5 linked regions of the Tribolium castaneum genome follow. The protein of the gene in region 5 purifies or fractionates together with the protein of the main gene of each other region. This does not show direct contact. Links are inferred from orthologs where the notes say so. Each region holds a gene or a part of one and is shown on either strand. Other genes may lie near its edges.

Region 1 (2,645 bases), about 29 Mb from region 5:
TCCTGTTACAAGAGGTATTGAGATTGCCATCCACTGGATGGGATTCAATTTCGACGTGAATTTTTGGTCGCAACAAGTTTCGTTTTATTTAGTTGGATGTATTGTTGTCACGTCAATCAGAGGTTTACTACTAACGTTGACTAAAGTAAGTTAGAAAAAAAAAATCCCAATTGTGTAATTATGTAATTTCTTGCAGTTTTTTAACAGAATGTCGTCAAGCAAGAGTTCCAACATAATCGTACTTATTTTAGCCCAAATAATGGGCATGTACTTCGTATCATCAGTGCTTCTAATGCGAATGAATATGCCCCCACAATACCGAACTATCATCACTCAAGTTTTGGGAGATTTACAATTTAATTTCTACCATCGTTGGTTTGACGTGATATTTTTAGTAAGCGCTTTGGGCAGCATTGTTACGCTCTATTTGGCCCATAAACAACCAGTGCATGAAAATTTATAATTGAAATCTTGTGATAAATAAAGGAAATAAAAGGTTCGTTTTTACGTAGTTAAAATGACGTGTAATGTTTATTGAACAAAAACTTTAGACCTAGTGATTATATTATGTTACATACTTAATCTGATTACTTCCCAGAAACGAACTTTGATAATCCTTCTAAAAGACCAATGTAAGCCGAGTGCTCATAAGATGTGCTGAAATCTGATAATTTTCCAACAAATTCGTTAGAGATTCCCTTTTCCTCCAAATAGTTAAGGATAAGGTCATACAAATACTGAAAATTGTAAAGCAGTAATAAAAAAAACTGTTATAATACTACATTACTTACGGTATCTAAAACGTCTGATGCTACTGCATAAACATTTTCATTCCATGTCCCATCGTACAAACTGATCTCATCGACTCTAAATATGTCATCTGTAAAAAATTGATGTAACAACTTAGTGTAAGTCAATCACTAATTTTATAAATAAAAGCTGAAACATTTTAATGCAAAATAATAATGCACTGTACAAAAAAAACATTGCATTTTCAATGTTTTCGTACGTTTTTCAGCCAGAAATCCAATCATTTCGCTAAATATTATTAAAAAAACAAGAGAAAAATACAGGGTTAATCTAAAAACGGTCATTGTCACTATAATCACATTGTTTTTGCCATTTATGAACGTTTTTCATCCAGAAACAAGATTTCACTTAAGGCATGTATGTGTATTATTAGAAATATTTAAGCCTTTTCTCAGTCAGAAATACAATTATTATTTTTAAATATCAGAAATAATTCAGGAAATCACTAACTTAGCTCGAACATAGCGTAATCTTTTTCGCGAGATTTAATCTGTTCATTATTTCGAAAAATTTCGTCACAAATCAGCCGACAAATCATCAAAATAATTTTTAGATTTTTTTTGTCATTTCTAACGTGTAAGCACGTTTTTGGACTTATTGTAAGATTTCGTTATTCAAGCAAGAATTAACTAAAAAATCACCCGAAATTATTTTGAAATGATATTTTTACATTTTGTCAAACGTGTAAGCATGTTTCAGAGCTAAAACCTCCAGTCTTTTTGCAGGATTTTGCTATAATCAAATCTAGATATCTCCATATGAAATGTTATTTCATCTTGTTTTATTCGCTTCATTTATTTTGCAAAATTTGGTCAAAACAATAAGCATCCGATTGCGAATAAAAGTAAAAAAAAACTTGTAAAAGCGTTACTAAAGCTGAGAATGGTCTAATTTTTCAAGCAAGAACGCAACTACTTCAAGAAAATTCGTCAAAAACAACAAAAACAAAACAAAAAGAGTAACCGATTGACCTGTACTAACTAAAAACACAATTTTTACATTTTTAAGCGTGTAAGCATATTTCTGAGGTAAGATCCCAATCTTTTTGCAAGTTTTCCGTAAAACCGGACACAAAAATCTCATAAAAGGGTAAGAATAATAAAATGTTTGCCTTTTCGAGATTTTTTTCTTTATTTTCCCCACAGTTTCGCTAGCTAAACAAAATTAGGTCAAATGTAATTATTTTTGCCAATTTTAACCGTTTTACCACGTTTTTCGTCCAGAAATATTCGATTGTTTTTCAAAACGTTGTAAAAAAACTTAGCTCAGAAATCACTAAATTAGCTTAAAAATAAGGTAATTTTTTGCGTAATTTCGCTAATATAAAAAAACATATGTAAAATAAATAGAAATAGTTTTATTGGTGTTTAAAAACAGTGCGTCATAACACGTCAATAAAATAAGAAACGTGCAAACTAAAAAAAAATCTACAAGTCACTGAAATTGCAGCGAAAATATTCATCAAAGTCATAGACACAGTTCCTAAATGAAAAATCTTTTAACTTTCTTTTAAAAACATATAAAGGTAAATTACAAAAATTAGTTGGCAACATATTATAAAATTTAAATAAAAGCGTTACTAAAGCTGAGAAAGGTGTTATTTTTACTTTTACTGAAGATTCCAAAACGTTTTTTAAACAAAAACGTAATTACTTCGAGAAAATTCGTCAAAAATAAAACCTATTGAGAATAGTATTTTTACCTTTTTCAAGCATGTAAGCGCGTTTCTGAGATAAAACCTTAATCTGTTTGCGAGTTTTCCGTATAATTGGACACAAAAATCGCAAAAGGTAAAAAATGATATTATTTTTACCAATTTTAACCGTTTTATTAGT
Region 2 (4,012 bases), on a different chromosome or scaffold from region 5:
TTGTTCTAACGCCGACGTTGCTATCATTATATTGCATTCGTGACTTCTGTACTTCCGCAAAACTTCCTCCTGCCTTTTATGCTCGGATTCCGCCTCCCGAGGCTCGCGCACCGGATCTGCGATCTTATTCACGGAGAACGAAACCGACACCCACCAATACTCCTCGTCGCTCTTTGACATCACCTGACACAATGCAAACAATCAGCGGGCAAACCATCAATTTCTAAGGCTGAGGGGACCAGCTTAGTATCGCAAGATTTTGCCCAAAGAATAGAAGCTCGAGTTCAAACCATGAAGTCAAGCAGATAAATATAAACAAAAATAGCATTAGACTATTAAAGATAAACTAGACTTGCGTTGCTTCTTCTTTTCAAAAGAAAAGAATTTCTTAGCAAAAGTGAGAGAAGTAAATGCTTCACGTTTAAAGGAAAAATAAAATCACTTCAAACTTATGCAGTTCTCTAAATACTCTAGTGTTTTTTGTAAATATATCCACTTGAGCTTGGCAACTAAATATATAAACGCTAAGAAATTTAACACCAAAATTGACTATCATTAACAAGAAAAAAAAACATTACTCACTGCTGAAATTCTCAATTCTCAAAAACGAGTAATAAATAACCAAGAGATCTTTCACAAAGACTGTCTCAAAAGTACGCTTAAATTTGCTAATGGTATGATACATGTTTGTAAACGGTGTGGGTTTGAGTTCATGAACACCATCAAATATATTTTGCAAAAACATTTATTACCACCGACTGAAAAATTATACAAAAAAATTATGCTTCTTGTCACACAGCAAAACATTTGAAATACCTAATGATTCGGTAATTCTCACATTAATGTTATGTCTTGGTCAGCAAACAGGCCTGATTTAAATATGTCTTGTGTCTTTTTGGCACAAAATGAAAAATTATCTTAAAAATCTTCCACAGTGGTGAAAGATTTAAAAAATAAAATAGAACACATTTGCAACAAAAAACGCTAAAATTCTGTGACAGATCATTAAAAGTATGCCAGTGGGAAGTCGTGACCTCATTAAACCCCCAAAAAAAATAAATCACGAACTACTAGAAAGTTTTTCCTTTTTTTAGTCCAAACAATTAGTTGTCAGATATTTTTCCTGTTTTAATTTTGTGTTAAACATCAAGGGCTTTAAAGTAGTTTTTAAACAGATCATAAGTTACAAAATAAACGTACTTCTTCAATTTATGATTTTAGTGTTAGTTCTGTGGCAAAACCTTGCGACAGGCAGCATTAAAACACGATGGCACTTTAGGGCAACCCCTTAGCCTTACAGGAACACGTCTGCTTTACTTACACACAGTAGGGCGAAGAGGGCCTCCGCCTTGTAGCGATTTTTGACGAAAACGAGTGCGCAGAGCATCTCGTCGCTTTGCGCGCGCGAGATGTACGGCCTTCGGGGCCCTTTGTAGTTTTTCCCTTTTCCCTTCTTGGGGTCTTTGAGGTCTGGTAGTTTGTCGCAAGTTTCCGGCTTATCACCGGTCGGTTTAAACTGCTTTAGAACTTGGAGAAATCTGAGTACTTTCGGCGTTGAGAAACGAAACACCTTTTCCTTATCTGTGTAGTCTTGGAATTCGAGTTCGCAGAGAGCCCTTATCGAAACTAATACTGATGAAGCAACGCATAACAATAAATAATGTCTTTCGTAAGGAACTTTGACTTTGAGCTTCTCGATCTTGATAAGCATGCCATAGGCGGCTCTGTCGGCCGACCAGGGCCCCAAATCGTCCAGAATTTCGAGGAAGTCGTCGAAGAAGCTCAAAGGCTGTTCCTTGGGGTCTGGGACTTGCTTGAATTCCTCGAGCAAGTCATCGTCGTAGATTTCGCTCGGATCGTAGCGGTGGTCCTTGAGGAAATCCTGACAGGAGGTTATAGTGGCCTTGATTTTGTCCTGCAAAGGGCTTGGAATGGGTTTAAAGCACTCGACTATGCGTTCGCGCGGCCGACAAGATAAGCGTATCAGCGTGAGAATTTCACTAGAAGTGTCTACCGAGGAACTAAGTAATTTTTCTAAGCGTTGTAATTCGGCTTCTAGACGATCGGGTTGCATCTCGGAGCCCAAAAGACCGGCAGTCAGGCCCAAAATTCGAGGTCTGGGCGCTTGAATCGCCTGATACCGGGCCATAATTTCCCTAACTAACGACTGTTGCCCCCCGTATAAGCAGTCTATCACGATTAGAGCGTAACTGTCCAAATGAACGAAGTTCTTCTTACATAGAAGCACACAGACTTCGGCTGTGGTCACAATCACATTGCTTGCCTTCAACGACGGGGGGTTTTCCTCTTTATCTATGCTCGTAACGGTCAGATCGGTCAGCAGCTTCACGTGCGACGTCATTATCGGGACGTTCGGGCCGTCCAGCACGAATAAAGCCTGCTTTCCGTGGGGCACCCGCATCTTGTGGGAGAACTCTTGCAGCAGTTTTATTGTTATAAACGCTTTCGCCGAACTCGCACTCGAACATACGATTGTATTACGCTTCTTAGCGCTGTCCAGCAGCTCCACTTGATACTCTCGTGGGGTAAACGTGTGCGTGTAAACATTTTCGTTTAAATAACAAGCCATGTAGGGGTGCTGTACACAACGGAGGACTTATCTAAGCATTTTTCGTTGCTATTATTGCTGATTATGATTGAACTAACTTAGAGACGTCTCACCACCAACGGGATACATCTTTTCTCACTTGGAATATACAAATTATCACAAAAATACCAGTTTAGATTCAAACAACACCACACAGACCGAGCGGGTTTTGACAGTTGACAGCGTTTTGACAATCACTCCAAAAAAATTGAATGTCGGTGAAGAGCATGGTTCAAAAATGGTGCTGGCACCATCAATATTACAGTCGACCAGACAATTTATTTCCCCACCATTCTCGTTTTCTGCAGCCAATTCACACCAGAAAATTTATCAAAATAATCGTAAATCATTATAAAAACATCAATAAGCTGTTACGCTGACTTGCATATCACATTTGTAGAAAATCTCCTGACCATTATAATGTGTTTCTATTACAAATTAAAACTTAACTGTATTTAATTTCTGCATTTTTTATTCTCATATTCAAGCAATGCAAACTGATTTTTTTTCACCCCCTTTATATTCTGCAATTTTCTTTATCTTTGTAAAAGAAGAGTCCTTCGATAGGGCCTTCGACTGTAAAAATGGATTTTTAAAGATTCTTAAAGATTTTCCGATGTCGCAAACTTTTTTTTTCATCTACTTTATATTATGTAATTTTCCTTATTTTTACAGGAGATTATTTTGCAGGAGACTGTAAAAAAATCATGTTCGGACAAACACCCTTGGGACCTTAACAATTTTTTTTAATTTTTATAAAGTTCCTCTATTTTGCAAACTTTATTTTCTTCACCCACTTTATATCCTGCAATTTTCTTTATTTTTGCAGGAAATTAAGCTCTTCGATAGGGCCTTCGACTGTAAAAAAATCATAAAGTACCCCTTGGAACTTTAATGAATTTTTAAAGATTCTTTAAAATTTCCCGATTTCGCAAACTTTATCTTTAAAAATTCATTACAGTGTTCAGAATGGCCCCCAAAAGGCGAATCAATTATTACAGGAAAGGAGGGAAATAGTAAAAATAATGAATACTTTTGCAAAATGCTTTTATAGAAAAGTTGTTGTACTTATATTTTATTATGTGGTAATGAGTGATAAACACTTTTTTTGGTAGATAGAAAGCGTGCCTAACTGCTTAAATAAGCTTTTTAGCACACTCGTATTTTGAAGTTCTCGAATTTCAAAAAATAAAAGTGTTTTTTCTGCGGCTTGACTTTGCTTTAATTCTGTGTCTTCAAAGTAGAATTCTTAGATGGGGAAACTATGTACATTTTTTTTTCTTGATCCGTTAATGTGTAGAATAGTCGAAATATGTTTAGTCGTCAGCAATGAATCTGGCATTTAAAGACACCGTTCACAATTTATTAATGTTTATACACAACTTTATTCAACACATTTTAATT
Region 3 (3,835 bases), on a different chromosome or scaffold from region 5:
TTTTAAAGCACCTAATTTTTATTCGAAATTCCAAAGATTGTACTTTAATCGTTGAGATTGAGCCAATTGGTCTTGCGTTTATAGTTTTTAAAAACGGTTTTCTTGCACATATTTTGTATAGTCCGTTTGGTTGTATTACAATGCTCATGAGGGTGCTGGGTACATTTAAGTTTGTTCATATTTTATTTAGTATTACGCAACTATTTATACAACTAATTTGTAGGAACAGCAAAATCGGCTCTGTTAGCAAACAGATAAAGCAATATTGCATTGTTAATAATTTTCTATAAAATAAAAACAAATTCGACCTATCGGCAGTTTTTTCTTTTTCGTTGAAGGTTGCGATACCGTGGTGCCTTATTATCGATAACACTATCCATGTTACAGTTAGTAACTGTTTGAACATTCCGCTCATTTAGTTTATTGTAAAAACATATAAAATAAATTGTTGTGAATATTACCCATGGTTTTATTGGTAGGATAACAGGTTTAAGCATTACGACCTCAATTTGATCAAGTATCTATTTAAAAATAATAGATTATACAAGAATAAAAATACCCGACTCTCAAACAAACAATTACTCAACTTCCTGCTTATTTTTCTTCTTCTTCTTTTTGGGCGGCTCCTCCGCCTCATCTGCATTCCCATTGGTCGTCTGGTCCACGCCATTCTCTCCCACAGACTCACTCGTCTCGTTCAGCTTATGTTTCTTCTTTTTCTTCTTCTTCTCGGACTTATTGTGCGCCGTTTCTTGCTCCAACTCCTCCATCGCCTCCTTCATGACTTCGATATTCTTCTTGGGGACGTCCCCTGTCTCGTAAAACTTGAGCCTGTCTTCAACTTGTTGCCTCAACTTCTCGCCAAAAATCTGCGTCGGTTGTTCAGTGAAGCAGTCGATTCGCGATGCGATCGAGCACTTGTTCGCCAAATATCGCGAGATGCGCCCCTTGTTCTTAGCCCCAGCTCGCCCTATGAAAGTGGAGTGGAAGAGTAAGCCGTACTTCGGGGTGTTCCCCCTGGTTTTAAGAGCCCTGAAAAGGGCTTTTTCAGCCCCGAGGATCTGAACCGTGGACGCCGGGTACTTGGCAAGGTTTGTCAGAGACCCAGCGTGGGCGATCAAGCGCGCCCCCACTTGTTCGCCGATTAGTTTGGCCAGATTTGGGGCCACGTCGGTCATTTTTGTCTTCAAATATTCGGAAAGTTGGTTTCTGTAGTCGGCTAGAGCTATCACCCGGCCGGCAAACATTTCGATGTTCAGTAGATCAACAACGCTTATGTCCATGCCCATGCTGGACTTGGAGGCGTCCAAAATCGCCTGGGCTTTGCCTGAATCCATCGTGATTTCTTCCAAGCCCTCGAGAGAGTCCTCGCTTAGTTCTTTGCGGTTTTTGATGAATTTTGCCAAACGGGCGTAGGTGTAGTTCTCGGGGACTATTTTCACCAACTCCGGGAAATGGTAAGAGTACCATTCGCTGCAATACACTTGTTAGAAAGAAAATTTGGACAATTCGCAAAATCGTACCGAATTCTCATCGAGAAAGTGTTGATGTCTTTGTCGAGTTGGTCCAAAAGAGCTATGGATTGTATTATCATATTGTCAACTCTGTGGACGTTAAACTTGACCTTGGCTCGTGAATATGCATGCCCGAGCCCCAGTTGGGCCACGGCTGAGCTTTTCTGAGTGAAACCTTTCACAAGGTTATGGAAATGGTGCCTGATACCCCTGATTACCTCCGGGACAGCTCCGACGTGGCTACATTGTATCCCAAGCGCTTCGGTGATGGCAGCCCCCAACTTGGGGTCACTCACCCCCAACGTAAGCTTATTCTTTTTCTTACTTTTCGGGACTGTGATGTCCAAAAAGTGTAGCAAATCTTCGGGTAAAACACCCTCCGAGATTGCATTGATGCTTTCTAAAGCCGCAATGGCTGTTTTAAACGGCGAAAAACCAACGAGTTCGACTACGCTATTGAAGCGGGCTAGGTCGTGCACGGCTGCCTCCAACTGGGGCAGCAGCATACCGATTTCTTCAAATTCCTGCACTTTGAAAACCCCATAGCCGGCAGCGTGCTCGAATAACACATAAAGTTTAGACTGAAAAACATGCGGCGCTAGAGTGAGGTTATATTTACAAACATTGCTATAACTTTGCTTGTTCCAAAAAACGAGCAATTAGCAATGTTCTAGTTATGCAATATTGAATTCTTACCATAATTAGGCATAAAATTGGGCTAAAATTAATTAAATTCTATAACAGCACGCATCACAATCACACGTGTTTGCGCGATTTCGCTGGTAATTTTTACGGCAGTGTAGTGGTGGAGCTGACGAAAATTTAAATTCTGGCGCACAACTTAAATAATCTCTTACATTTATTAACATAAATAAATACAATTCTCAATAAGTTACGTAACAAATCACTTAAACACTACGACTGGACTTAAAATAACATTGAGGACAAACTTGAGTCCCAAAACGAGACCATCAATAACATTCTTAATATCAAATCTAGATTCAATCTCTTTTTTAACATTCGTCAGTTTATTATTACTACACGCAAGGCAACCAATTTCGTCCAATTTTACATGGGTTTTGAACCCCCCTAAAATCCCATCGGACCCCACAACCTCGTTATTAAACAACGTGCCTTTGAACCAAATGTGGTCATTTGGCTTAAGCCCCAGGGTGAAATTTCGAAAATAATCGTCAACTACAAGAGTGACTTCGGGGCTTTTGCCCCAAATCGCTGACTGCACTTTCGTTGTTATTTCAAACGTGTACGAATTGTATTTTTGAAGCGAACACGTTTTAGTCGATTTTATTGCATTGTAGAACGAGCTGCACTCTTCACGAACCGCGGGGGGGAAATCAGTACAATCATTTCGAGTCTCTTCCCCGTAAAAACAGTAAAGATAATGGCGCAAAGTCACAGGGAAGTGATCAATAATCGTTTGGAACTTATTCGAGATCGACGAAATTTTAATATCGTTGATGTAACCGTCCCAATTGATGTGCGAGTTGTGCAGTTCGGAGCACTTCACTTGAGCAATTGCGATGTTTTCCTCCTGCCACACCGGCTGGTGGCAAAACCGCTGATAAACGTCCCACGACAAATACTCGGGTAGTTTATTTTCAAAATAGTGTTCCTCATTTTTGTAATTTGACTTAATGAGGGTTAAAACAGCAAAAATCGTCGAAACGACTTGAATAAAAGCGGTGATTTTGCTGAACCTCGTTTGGGCACAAACCCAACATACCGCCAGGCCTAACCCGGTGGCCCCCACGAAGACACAAACCCCGAGAAAAAAATTCGAAGCCACGACCCATTTCGCTAGCGCAGCTGCGGGGAGTATCACACTTGTGAGCCCCACTAGGGGCAGGAACAGCACCACCCCCACTAAGGCCAAGCTGCCGCGCAACAGGCCGTACATTGTGGCCCCCTCGGAGCTCACAATGCACACCTGGAGCCAGCTCAGGGTCACACAGTGGGGGATCAACATTTGGTACGTGCCTTTCCAATCCTGGCGTGAGGCGATTTTGACCAACAAAAGCGGGATAAACATGTAGAGAAACAGGCGGAAATTGATACAAAATTCGATGCCGTTTCCTATCACATAGCTGGCGAAAGTTGGGATTTTTAGGTCGAGAAAGCGCCAACCTTGTGCCACCACTGGATCAGTCTCGTAGGGGTATTTCGCAAGGACGTTAATCCCAAAACTGAAAAACACCAAAAGGTCGAAAACTGTCTTCCCCCGTCTCTTGTACATGAAGCCTAGAAGGGTTGCAAACGTGAGACAGAACGAAATTATCATTAATTCAGACTGGGGGATCCAC
Region 4 (4,169 bases), about 6.3 Mb from region 5:
GTTGGAGGTTACGTTTGCAGGAGAGGTTATGTTGCCGCACTGAAAATTTAGTGTAAACCACGTGTTTACAAAGGGACGCTCTTTTACGTTTCTAATTATTTGAGGAGTGAAACAAAATGTCTTTTCGTGGCCGAGGCGGCGGTGGTGGCGGCTTTGGAGGTCGTGGTCGTGGGGGCGGCGGCGCTCGAAATTTTGGTGGAGGCGGCGGGAGAAATAGTTTTGGTGGTCGCGGGGGCGGCGGGCGAAACTATGATCAAGGCCCTCCTGAGAGAGTGATTCCTTTGGGCTACTTCGATTACACCGTACAAGATGATTTAGTTGCTAAAGTAGAAATAGAAGACGTTCCATTTTTCAATGCGCCGATTTACCTCGAAAATAAGGAACAAATCGGAAAAATTGATGAAATTTTTGGAAATCTCAGAGATTATTACGTTTCGATACGTCTCGGAGACGACATAAAAGCTAGCAGTTTTAAAAAGAATCAAAAGGTATAAAAAAATTCACTTACCATTCACACATCTAAAATAATGTTTTGCAGTTGTTTATTGATCCTGCGAAGTTGTTACCACTTCAAAGATTCCTACCGAAGCCCCCAGGCTCAGTCCAGAAACGAGGCGGTCGAGGGGGAGGTCGTGGGGGTGGCGGAGGCCGCGGTGGTGGCAGAGGGGGCGGCAATCGCGGCGGGTTTGGAGGAAGAGGAGGCGGCAATTTCGGTGGACGTGGGGGTCGTGGGGGCGGCGGCGGTTTTAGAGGTGGTCGTGGGGGTGGATTTGGCGGCGGCCGAGGAGGGGGCGGCGGCGGCAAGAGGTGGTAGACTTGAAATTGTGACCAATGTTTTTTGTGGTTGGCAATTGTTCCATTAAGTGTATGAAATTTTTATTACGAAAATAGATCTATGAAAAATAAGAACTACAGGTTATTTCAAATTTTTGTGTGAATATGTCAGCAAACAACACGAAATGGATGGTGCCACTGTTTGACAAAGTTAATAAATAAAGAATATTTAAAAAAAATTTAAACTGAAAACAAAACCTTAATCATCAAATTTTGTATGTTTTGCTTTCTTTAACAGTTTGTCTCTACCACGTTGTTTCTTTTTTGCTTTGTTTAGTTTATCCTCACGATCTGTTTTAATTTTTTCCCAATATGAAGATTCTTCCTGTCCTGTTAATACCTCTTTTTTGCCAAAAGATTCTTGGGAGCAAAAATTTTTAGCGCCCTCCGTGGTGTTAAATCTTACATAAATGTTCTCACTGCCAGGGTTTGGAATATCTACGTACAATATATCAGCTGAAGAAGTTTTAATTTCATTCTGAAAAACGATTTATCGCAAATAAATTGGCCAAGATATTTAGTTTAGAAAATTTACCTTAAGTTTCTTTATATCCAGGGTAGCTTCGGTTAGCTTTATTTTTACAATAAGTCCCTTGGTAAAATCCTCTTTGTTGAGTTCAGTCTTAGCAGTGGGAGTTTTCGACTTTTGTTCATAATTTGGTTGATTAAACTTGGCTTTTAGAAGGTGTTTTTTAAACTCTTTCATTTTCTTCTTTTGTAAATCTAGATACCGATTTCGCATCTTTTTCCACTCTTTTCTAAAAAACAATTATTTATCAATGATTAAAGATAATTCTAGCTGCTTCACTTACTTTGATAACACTTGGAGGCCCAATTCTTTTATGTAATTTTTCTTTTTGTGTTCTTTTTTCAATTTCTTCTTTTTCTTATTTTCGGCATCGTCCGACTCAGAAACGTCTCCAGTATCATGTTTTGAATTTTTTTCTTTTTCGTCACTTTCACTGTGTTCATCATTTTCTTCAGTGTGCTTACTATCATCGACTTTCATTTTTTTCCCTTTTTCTTCACTTTCGCCGGATTCACTTTCTTCAAGTTTTCGTTTTCTTATTTTTTCCTCCGCTTTACTCTCACAGTGTTCACTATCTAGTTTTTCGCTATTCTCACTATTGTCTTCAAGTTTTCGCTTTTTTGTTGCCTTTTCGTCTTCTCCAGATTTTGGCTTCAGTGTAGAATTTTTAGAGGAAGCCTCAGATTGTTCATTACTTTCTTCAAATGTTTTAATACTACAAAGAGTTTCTGGTTCTGTATTTGACGGCATTTTGCAGCCAATGCTTTCAAAGTAATTTAAAGCATTTTGCGCTTCCTTTTCTTTCTCGAATTCGACAAAAGCAAAACCCTTTATGGCACTATTGTTTTTGTATTTTGGTATAGAAACGTAGACCACATTTCCAAATTCAGAAAAAACAGAGTTCAACCATTCATGAGTTGCATCGGATTTTAGGCGTTCTACATAAATCGTACAATCATCAACGTTAGCCTTTTCTTTAACCGGTTTTGTACGACGAATTCTACTACGATCTTCTGATAATTCGATTAACTGCGACTTTTGTACAGCTTTTTGGATATCATCTATGCTGGTTGTGAGTTTAGTAATTTTGTTAAATTTCAAAAATACGTTCAGGTCGACAACTGAAAAAAGTGCTTGGTATTTACCTACAACTACTCATAAAATAATCATATAGTCACTTACAAGGATTCTCCTTTATTAATTGAGATAGAAATCTATCTTTGGTGAGGTTAGAGTCGCTAAAATAAAATTCCATTTGCTGCAAAATGGAATTGTAGAGTTGCTTTTTTCGATGGCGACCTTTTTTAAGTATTGAATCGTCGTGTGCATTTGCATTTTCTTTCGTTTCATTTTCCATTTTCAATACTTTGCAGAAGTAAAAATGAAAATTATAACCTAACTTAGCGTTTGGAAATGAAATTGAAAAAGAAACTGCCGCCAACCATAGAAAAAAAATATTTGTTGGAGGTAAATTTGGTTGCCTAATTAAAAAAAATGTTTTTAGAATGCAAAAAAAATCATTTACTTTTTAAATTATACGCCGCTTACTCTTATTCATAGGAGATAGCTCTTATTCAAAAAATAATTATGTTTAGTTGTATCAATTACACCCATGCTACTCCTAGTGCATTGTGTGCTGCACTTTTTACCTAATCAGGCGTGAAGTCTTAAGTGAATAACTCTATGTATTTAGTTTAGATTATGAAAAAAAAACTTTTATACTTTATTAACTAATTTAATTAAGTTTTACCATGAATTTGAATAGTACTTCAAATCGTTTCAAATAATCCATTATGTGAAACTGAATACTCACCTTGATTTCATCTTTCTTAGAAACGAACTATAAAGTCACCGATAAAATGATAAAAGTAAGTTGTTTATTACATTAAGTTACTTAAATCACTGACATACTTATATTGTTTGCCTTATGGATTGTGAAATTTAAACATCAGCACGTATAAGTACTGATGTTATCGCCTTAGCAACATATAAGCCACCAACTTGAGCAATCTTACAATAGGTTTAAATTTTATGAAACCATAAGTAAAATTATTCATCAGATTAAATTACAACAGTCATTTAAAAAAAACATTTATCATAACTAACTCATAGTATCTTTGCCGATGTTTTTTCGTGCTTATTTATTATTTAACTATGTACTTTTGGAGATGTTTTTATCTTTTGGCTTTTGGCCACAATTAATGAGGCAAATTCAAAATAAAAAGTTATAGTATGTACATTTGCAAAGATATTTTGAAAAACACATTAATTTTTTTAATTGTTAGTCCTTGCAATTTTAATTTAATTCTGGTCTAAAAGAATCATTGATCCACAATATTGATCCGTAAATGTATAAGTTTTTTCTAGTTAAAAGTTTAAAATAATACGAAATACAAAATAACAACAAACAAACAAAGAAAACAAACGTTAGAATAACTACAACTTGTCCTATCCAAATGTTTATAACTACTTTTTGTATTTAGATACACCAGCTATCAATAAAAAAAGTCAAGTGACTTAAATTAAAACTTTGTACCCTATTCATATCATTTATGTGTGTACTTAATTGTACTCACATTGTAAAACGATTTACTGATGTCATTGTTTTATTAACAAGTAGATAACAAGCATTTAAGTCATCAAGATAAATTAGGCTTAAGTCTTTTATCTAAGTCACTCAAACTAACGTCTGCATGAAGTTTTAGCAGACGATAGGCAAGTGGATAATGTTACAATAATTATAAGCACGTTCAATCATCATACAACCTGAATACCTACTTATAGATTATTATTTATCTTTTTGTCA
Region 5 (4,040 bases):
TAATTTGCCCCTTCATTGAATACACTGGCAAACCTTGTCTCTCACTAATGATAGCTTTCAAATCAACGTCATGATTCAATTTTTGTTTGGTTTCTTCGGCCAAATGTTCGCTCAACTCGTCCAAGTTGGCGTTGGCAAGGGGGCCCTCATCAATGTTGCACCCAGTCCAAGGATTCCAATTTTGTTGAGGAGGCGACCATGGGACAACTCCTGCAGCTATCGGTTTGGAGGCTTGAAAGTCGTCCAAAATGTGATTGCTCAAAAGTGAAACCGGTTGGCTTTCGCTTTCCGGTTTAACCTCAACCGGAGTGATATTCAAAGTGTCGAGGCAATCTTTGATTTGTTTTTGTAAATCTGGGGAGATTTTTACATCGAAAGGTTTCATTTCACTGCCGGTTTTCTCTTTTTTAAGTGTTCCGGAAAATGCTTCAATTACACCGAGATGGAACAGTTGGCGAATGATGGAAAGAGCGCAACTTTTACTAGCGGTTTGCTTATTTGAACCGGAATCACGACCGGTTATTGTACGTCCGAGTTGCTTGACGTAGAAGCTCATTTCGGCCACAAAAGTCCTAAGAAATGGGAGCATTACAGTTGAGAAATAGGGGATTAAAAGTATACTTACAAGTGTATAATGCAGAGTTTTTATATTGTACCTTGGAGGAAAAACAGAACCAAGAACAGTAAAATATTTGAGTTGTTCCCACGGTAGCTGCAGTGGAAAATTATTATTTAAGAAACTACTGCAAGAAGTAAAACAGAAGTTTCATAAATAAAAAAATGACCTCAAAGTTACTAATTTTTTAATCAAACCAGTAACTCTATTATCAAAATGCCATTCAATTGGTTAAATAAAACATAAACGCATTCACAACTTCCTTCTTTCCAGAAAGAAAATCGTGAATTTTTTGGTAAATAAACGAAATAAATTATTCTATCCACTGTACTTAGTTCTGCTTTTCCACCTCTACTATTTTTTCTCTGCAGAAAAAAATAAAAAAGATAGAAAAATTTTAATTTCTTCAATCTTTCATTTTTTTCTAAAAATTTTCAAACCATAAATAGTCAAACAATAACAATAATCCTTCTGGCAGAAATGTTGGTTTTTTCAAAGCCAGAAAAAAAAATCGTGAATGGATAAAATAATAATGAAAATAAATTATTCTATCCACTGTTCTTGGCTTTGCTTATCTGTCTTTACTCCTTACATTTTTTTATTATTTCTTCTATTGGTGCCTCATTCTCTATTGCAGATTTAATTAAAAAAAAAAAAAAACAACATTTTTTCCTTCTTTTCGTTTTTTTTTCTATTTTTGGTATTTTTTATTATGTATATTTATTTTATTATTACGGTTCTTTCTTTATTTTTTATTCTCGTTCTCTTATACAAAAAATATTTAAAATAAACAGTGCAGGGGAAATGTTAAATTTCCAAGGCCAGAAGAAAAACGTGAGTAAACAATAAACAAAATAAATTATTCTGTCACTGTTCTTGGTTATGCTCTATTATTTTATTATTTTTCAGTTTTTCTACTGTGCCTATTTTTCTCTCTCTCCTCCCCCCACACAAACTTCCATCTACTCACTCTCTCAATACCAACCTGGAATGGTCTGGCCCCACTTGCGTATACTTATAATCCGCGTGTATTTTATTGCTTTGCATAAACTGATGCAGCTTTGACTTTGCATTCTCCACAGTCCAATTGCCATGAATCTGAGCATTCACATCCAAATCCTCTGCATCCTCCACACTCTTCTGTTCCTGCGCCCTGTTCATGTAATGCCAATCGTCGTGATCGCGCCCCAGAGGCCTGTAGGCCTCCCCAAACGACGAGGGCCCCATTCCCTGTCGAAACACCGAAGGGGCGGGCCCCCGATTCATCGGAACGGTGTTTGGACCTGGAGGCGCATCCTGGAAGTCGGGCACGTCGGCGGGGTTAACAATGCCTTCCCGGACGAGGTAACTGACGAAATCGCGGGCGGCGTTGCTTTGGGCGTCCTTTTTGTTGGTGGAATTGCCAGCCCCCACGTAACTGTAGCCATCGATGCGGACTTCGCAGAGGAATCTCTGGCGGTGTTTGGGGCCTTTGGGGAAATTAGTAAAGGGTGAAAAGGGGCTGCGGCTTACCGGTTGGCCGGACTTCAAACTGGGGCTGCTCTTTCTTGGTCTTCTGGCAGAACTGGTGCAAGAATGATTTTATATCGGACATCCTATTGAAATTTCGTATTTTTTAATCGAAGAAAATGCCGGTAAAAAATACGACCTTGGAAAAGTTTTGACATTTAACCACAGAATAGAGTCCGCGAAATGACAGATCGTCCACGGTGGTAGGAGTGCGCAGAGACGAAAACTCGTCTCGGACGAGTCCAATCTTTAAATTAGGGGTGTTGGCAGAAAACAGTGGCGTGGCGTGTACTTACATGTGTAGGGAATTCGTCTTAAAGTTTAACATTTCAATATTACCAGTTATAGTAAAGATACCAGTAGAAACATTTTTTGCAATAAACGCGTTTTTACTCTTTACTCATTGTGTATTTTTATTTATTCGACCTCTCTGCTTTGTATTTCTAGGAAATCAACGTGTATTAGCATTAGATATGATTTTTACTATTTCATCTTGCAATTATTGAATAGAGGAAATTTTAACTACTACAAATTATGAATCTCAAACCCTTCTTGATCATAGAATAGTTTTTTGCTACGCCACTGCTCAATCTCCTCACTCGATGAAGTACGCATTGGCTCCGCCTATCGTGGTCGTTTACAGAGTTTCCGAGCTCTACCACTAATTTTCGCACTAAAATTTCACATTGCCAGTTTCTGTTTAAATATAAACATGCATTTTTATTTTTCCATTAACTGCATGCGAAACTTTTATAATTTTAGACGTTTATAGACAAATACATTTGTCATAATTAACTTTTCTAGATCAATACTGTTCTATTTTGAATAATTCTGTGTATGAATGTTTCTAAATTTGACGGATTTGGACAGTGAATGTTTCTGGTTATGACTTGTTTTAGACGTGTGATGACGTCACATCCGAGGTTAGGTGTGCGGCGCAGGCGGCGAGGGCGGTTCAGTCGACAGCGAGCAGTGGCACGGGTCAGATCGGGAGCGGAAGCGGGAGGCGAAGCGAGGTGAGTCGGTTTATTTAAATTATTGTGTATTGTGCGGTTTCGTTCAATTTATTCAGTTTGTTACTTGCCGTTGTCGCGAACGGACGTGTGTTCAAGCAAATCTAAATTTTCCGGTTTAAATTTTCAATTCGGTGGCTAGTGATCGCGTTTGAGTGACACATTTTAAATACAGTAAATAAAATTATTATCAAACACTCAAATAATTTATTGCCACGTAATAATTTTGTCTTTAATTTCAATGAATGAAAGTGGCTTGCTCAAAATTTAATGCAAATAAACATTTTTTTGGTTTCATTTTTATTATTATTTTTTTTAATGCTACAAACGGTAGCCAACGAGGAAGCGATATGAAGGTAGGTGTATTTTATTGCTGTGTCGTATTTATTTATTTCACAAACCAATAATTTCATAAAACTTAATTGCAATTAAAATCTTTAAATGCGGTGTTGAAAGTGACATTTTGAGTGACGCATTTTAGATACAGAAACTATAAATAAAATAAAACACTCAAATAATTTATTGCCACGTAATTTTGTCTTTAATTTCAATGAATGAAAGTGGCTGCTCAAAATTTAATGCAAATAAACATTTTTTTGGTTTCATTTTTATTATTATTTTTTTTAATGCTACAAACGGTAGCCAACGAGGAAGCGATATGAAGGTAGGTGTATTTTATTGCTGTGTCGTATTTATTTATTTCACAAACCAATAATTTCATAAAACTTAATTGCAATTAAAATCTTTAAATGCGGTGTTGAAAGTGACATTTTGAGTGACGCATTTTAGATACAGAAACTATAAATAAAATAAAACACTCAAATAATTTATTGCCACGTAATTTTGTCTTTAATTTCAATGAATGAAAGTGGCTGCTCAAAATTTAATGCAAATAAACATTT

The links.
Region 1: the proteins of mle (region 5) and P32 purify together in Homo sapiens (affinity purification with mass spectrometry; 3 studies listed by BioGRID and IntAct, with this or other methods). This does not show direct contact. The link is inferred for Tribolium castaneum from reciprocal best matches to the Homo sapiens genes DHX9 and C1QBP.
Region 2: the proteins of mle (region 5) and Dcr-1 purify together in Homo sapiens (co-immunoprecipitation; 3 studies listed by BioGRID and IntAct, with this or other methods). This does not show direct contact. The link is inferred for Tribolium castaneum from reciprocal best matches to the Homo sapiens genes DHX9 and DICER1.
Region 3: the proteins of mle (region 5) and Nop56 purify together in Homo sapiens (affinity purification with mass spectrometry; 3 studies listed by BioGRID and IntAct, with this or other methods). This does not show direct contact. The link is inferred for Tribolium castaneum from reciprocal best matches to the Homo sapiens genes DHX9 and NOP56.
Region 4: the proteins of mle (region 5) and Larp7 purify together in Homo sapiens (affinity purification with mass spectrometry; 3 studies listed by BioGRID and IntAct, with this or other methods). This does not show direct contact. The link is inferred for Tribolium castaneum from reciprocal best matches to the Homo sapiens genes DHX9 and LARP7.

What each region holds. Positions count from the first base shown.
Region 1 is NC_087394.1:7,762,180-7,764,824, forward strand, and holds the end of P32 (complement component 1 Q subcomponent-binding protein, mitochondrial), read right to left. Parts: intron 881-2,645; coding exon 792-880; intron 738-791; coding exon 588-737; 3' UTR 502-587; downstream 1-501. Other genes in the region: GPHR (Golgi pH regulator), read left to right, coding at 1-145, 197-463.
Region 2 is NC_087403.1:8,547,443-8,551,454, forward strand, and holds the start of Dcr-1 (endoribonuclease Dcr-1), read right to left. Parts: upstream 2,807-4,012; 5' UTR 2,683-2,806; intron 2,622-2,682; 5' UTR 2,591-2,621; coding exon 1,322-2,590; intron 184-1,321; coding exon 1-183. UniProt on the Homo sapiens protein: Double-stranded RNA (dsRNA) endoribonuclease playing a central role in short dsRNA-mediated post-transcriptional gene silencing.
Region 3 is NC_087395.1:14,127,673-14,131,507, reverse strand, and holds Nop56 (nucleolar protein 56), read right to left. Parts: upstream 2,346-3,835; 5' UTR 2,214-2,345; coding exon 2,211-2,213; intron 2,096-2,210; coding exon 1,524-2,095; intron 1,474-1,523; coding exon 579-1,473; 3' UTR 509-578; downstream 1-508. Other genes in the region: wfs1 (wolframin), read right to left, coding at 2,419-3,835. UniProt on the Homo sapiens protein: Involved in the early to middle stages of 60S ribosomal subunit biogenesis. Required for the biogenesis of box C/D snoRNAs such U3, U8 and U14 snoRNAs. Part of the small subunit (SSU) processome, first precursor of the small eukaryotic ribosomal subunit.
Region 4 is NC_087394.1:30,502,010-30,506,178, forward strand, and holds the start of Larp7 (la-related protein 7), read right to left. Parts: upstream 2,802-4,169; 5' UTR 2,721-2,801; coding exon 2,546-2,720; intron 2,485-2,545; coding exon 1,647-2,484; intron 1,593-1,646; coding exon 1,370-1,592; intron 1,313-1,369; coding exon 1,034-1,312; 3' UTR 815-1,033; coding exon of another isoform or gene 539-814; 3' UTR 489-538; coding exon of another isoform or gene 117-488; 3' UTR 1-116. Other genes in the region: Gar1 (H/ACA ribonucleoprotein complex subunit 1), read left to right, coding at 117-488, 539-814. UniProt on the Homo sapiens protein: RNA-binding protein that specifically binds distinct small nuclear RNA (snRNAs) and regulates their processing and function.
Region 5 is NC_087394.1:36,799,048-36,803,087, reverse strand, and holds the start of mle (dosage compensation regulator), read right to left. Parts: upstream 2,808-4,040; 5' UTR 2,265-2,807; intron 2,212-2,264; 5' UTR 2,211-2,211; coding exon 2,129-2,210; intron 2,086-2,128; coding exon 1,602-2,085; intron 713-1,601; exon of another isoform or gene 626-712; intron 573-625; coding exon 1-572. UniProt on the Homo sapiens protein: Multifunctional ATP-dependent nucleic acid helicase that unwinds DNA and RNA in a 3' to 5' direction and that plays important roles in many processes, such as DNA replication, transcriptional activation, post-transcriptional RNA regulation, mRNA translation and RNA-mediated gene silencing.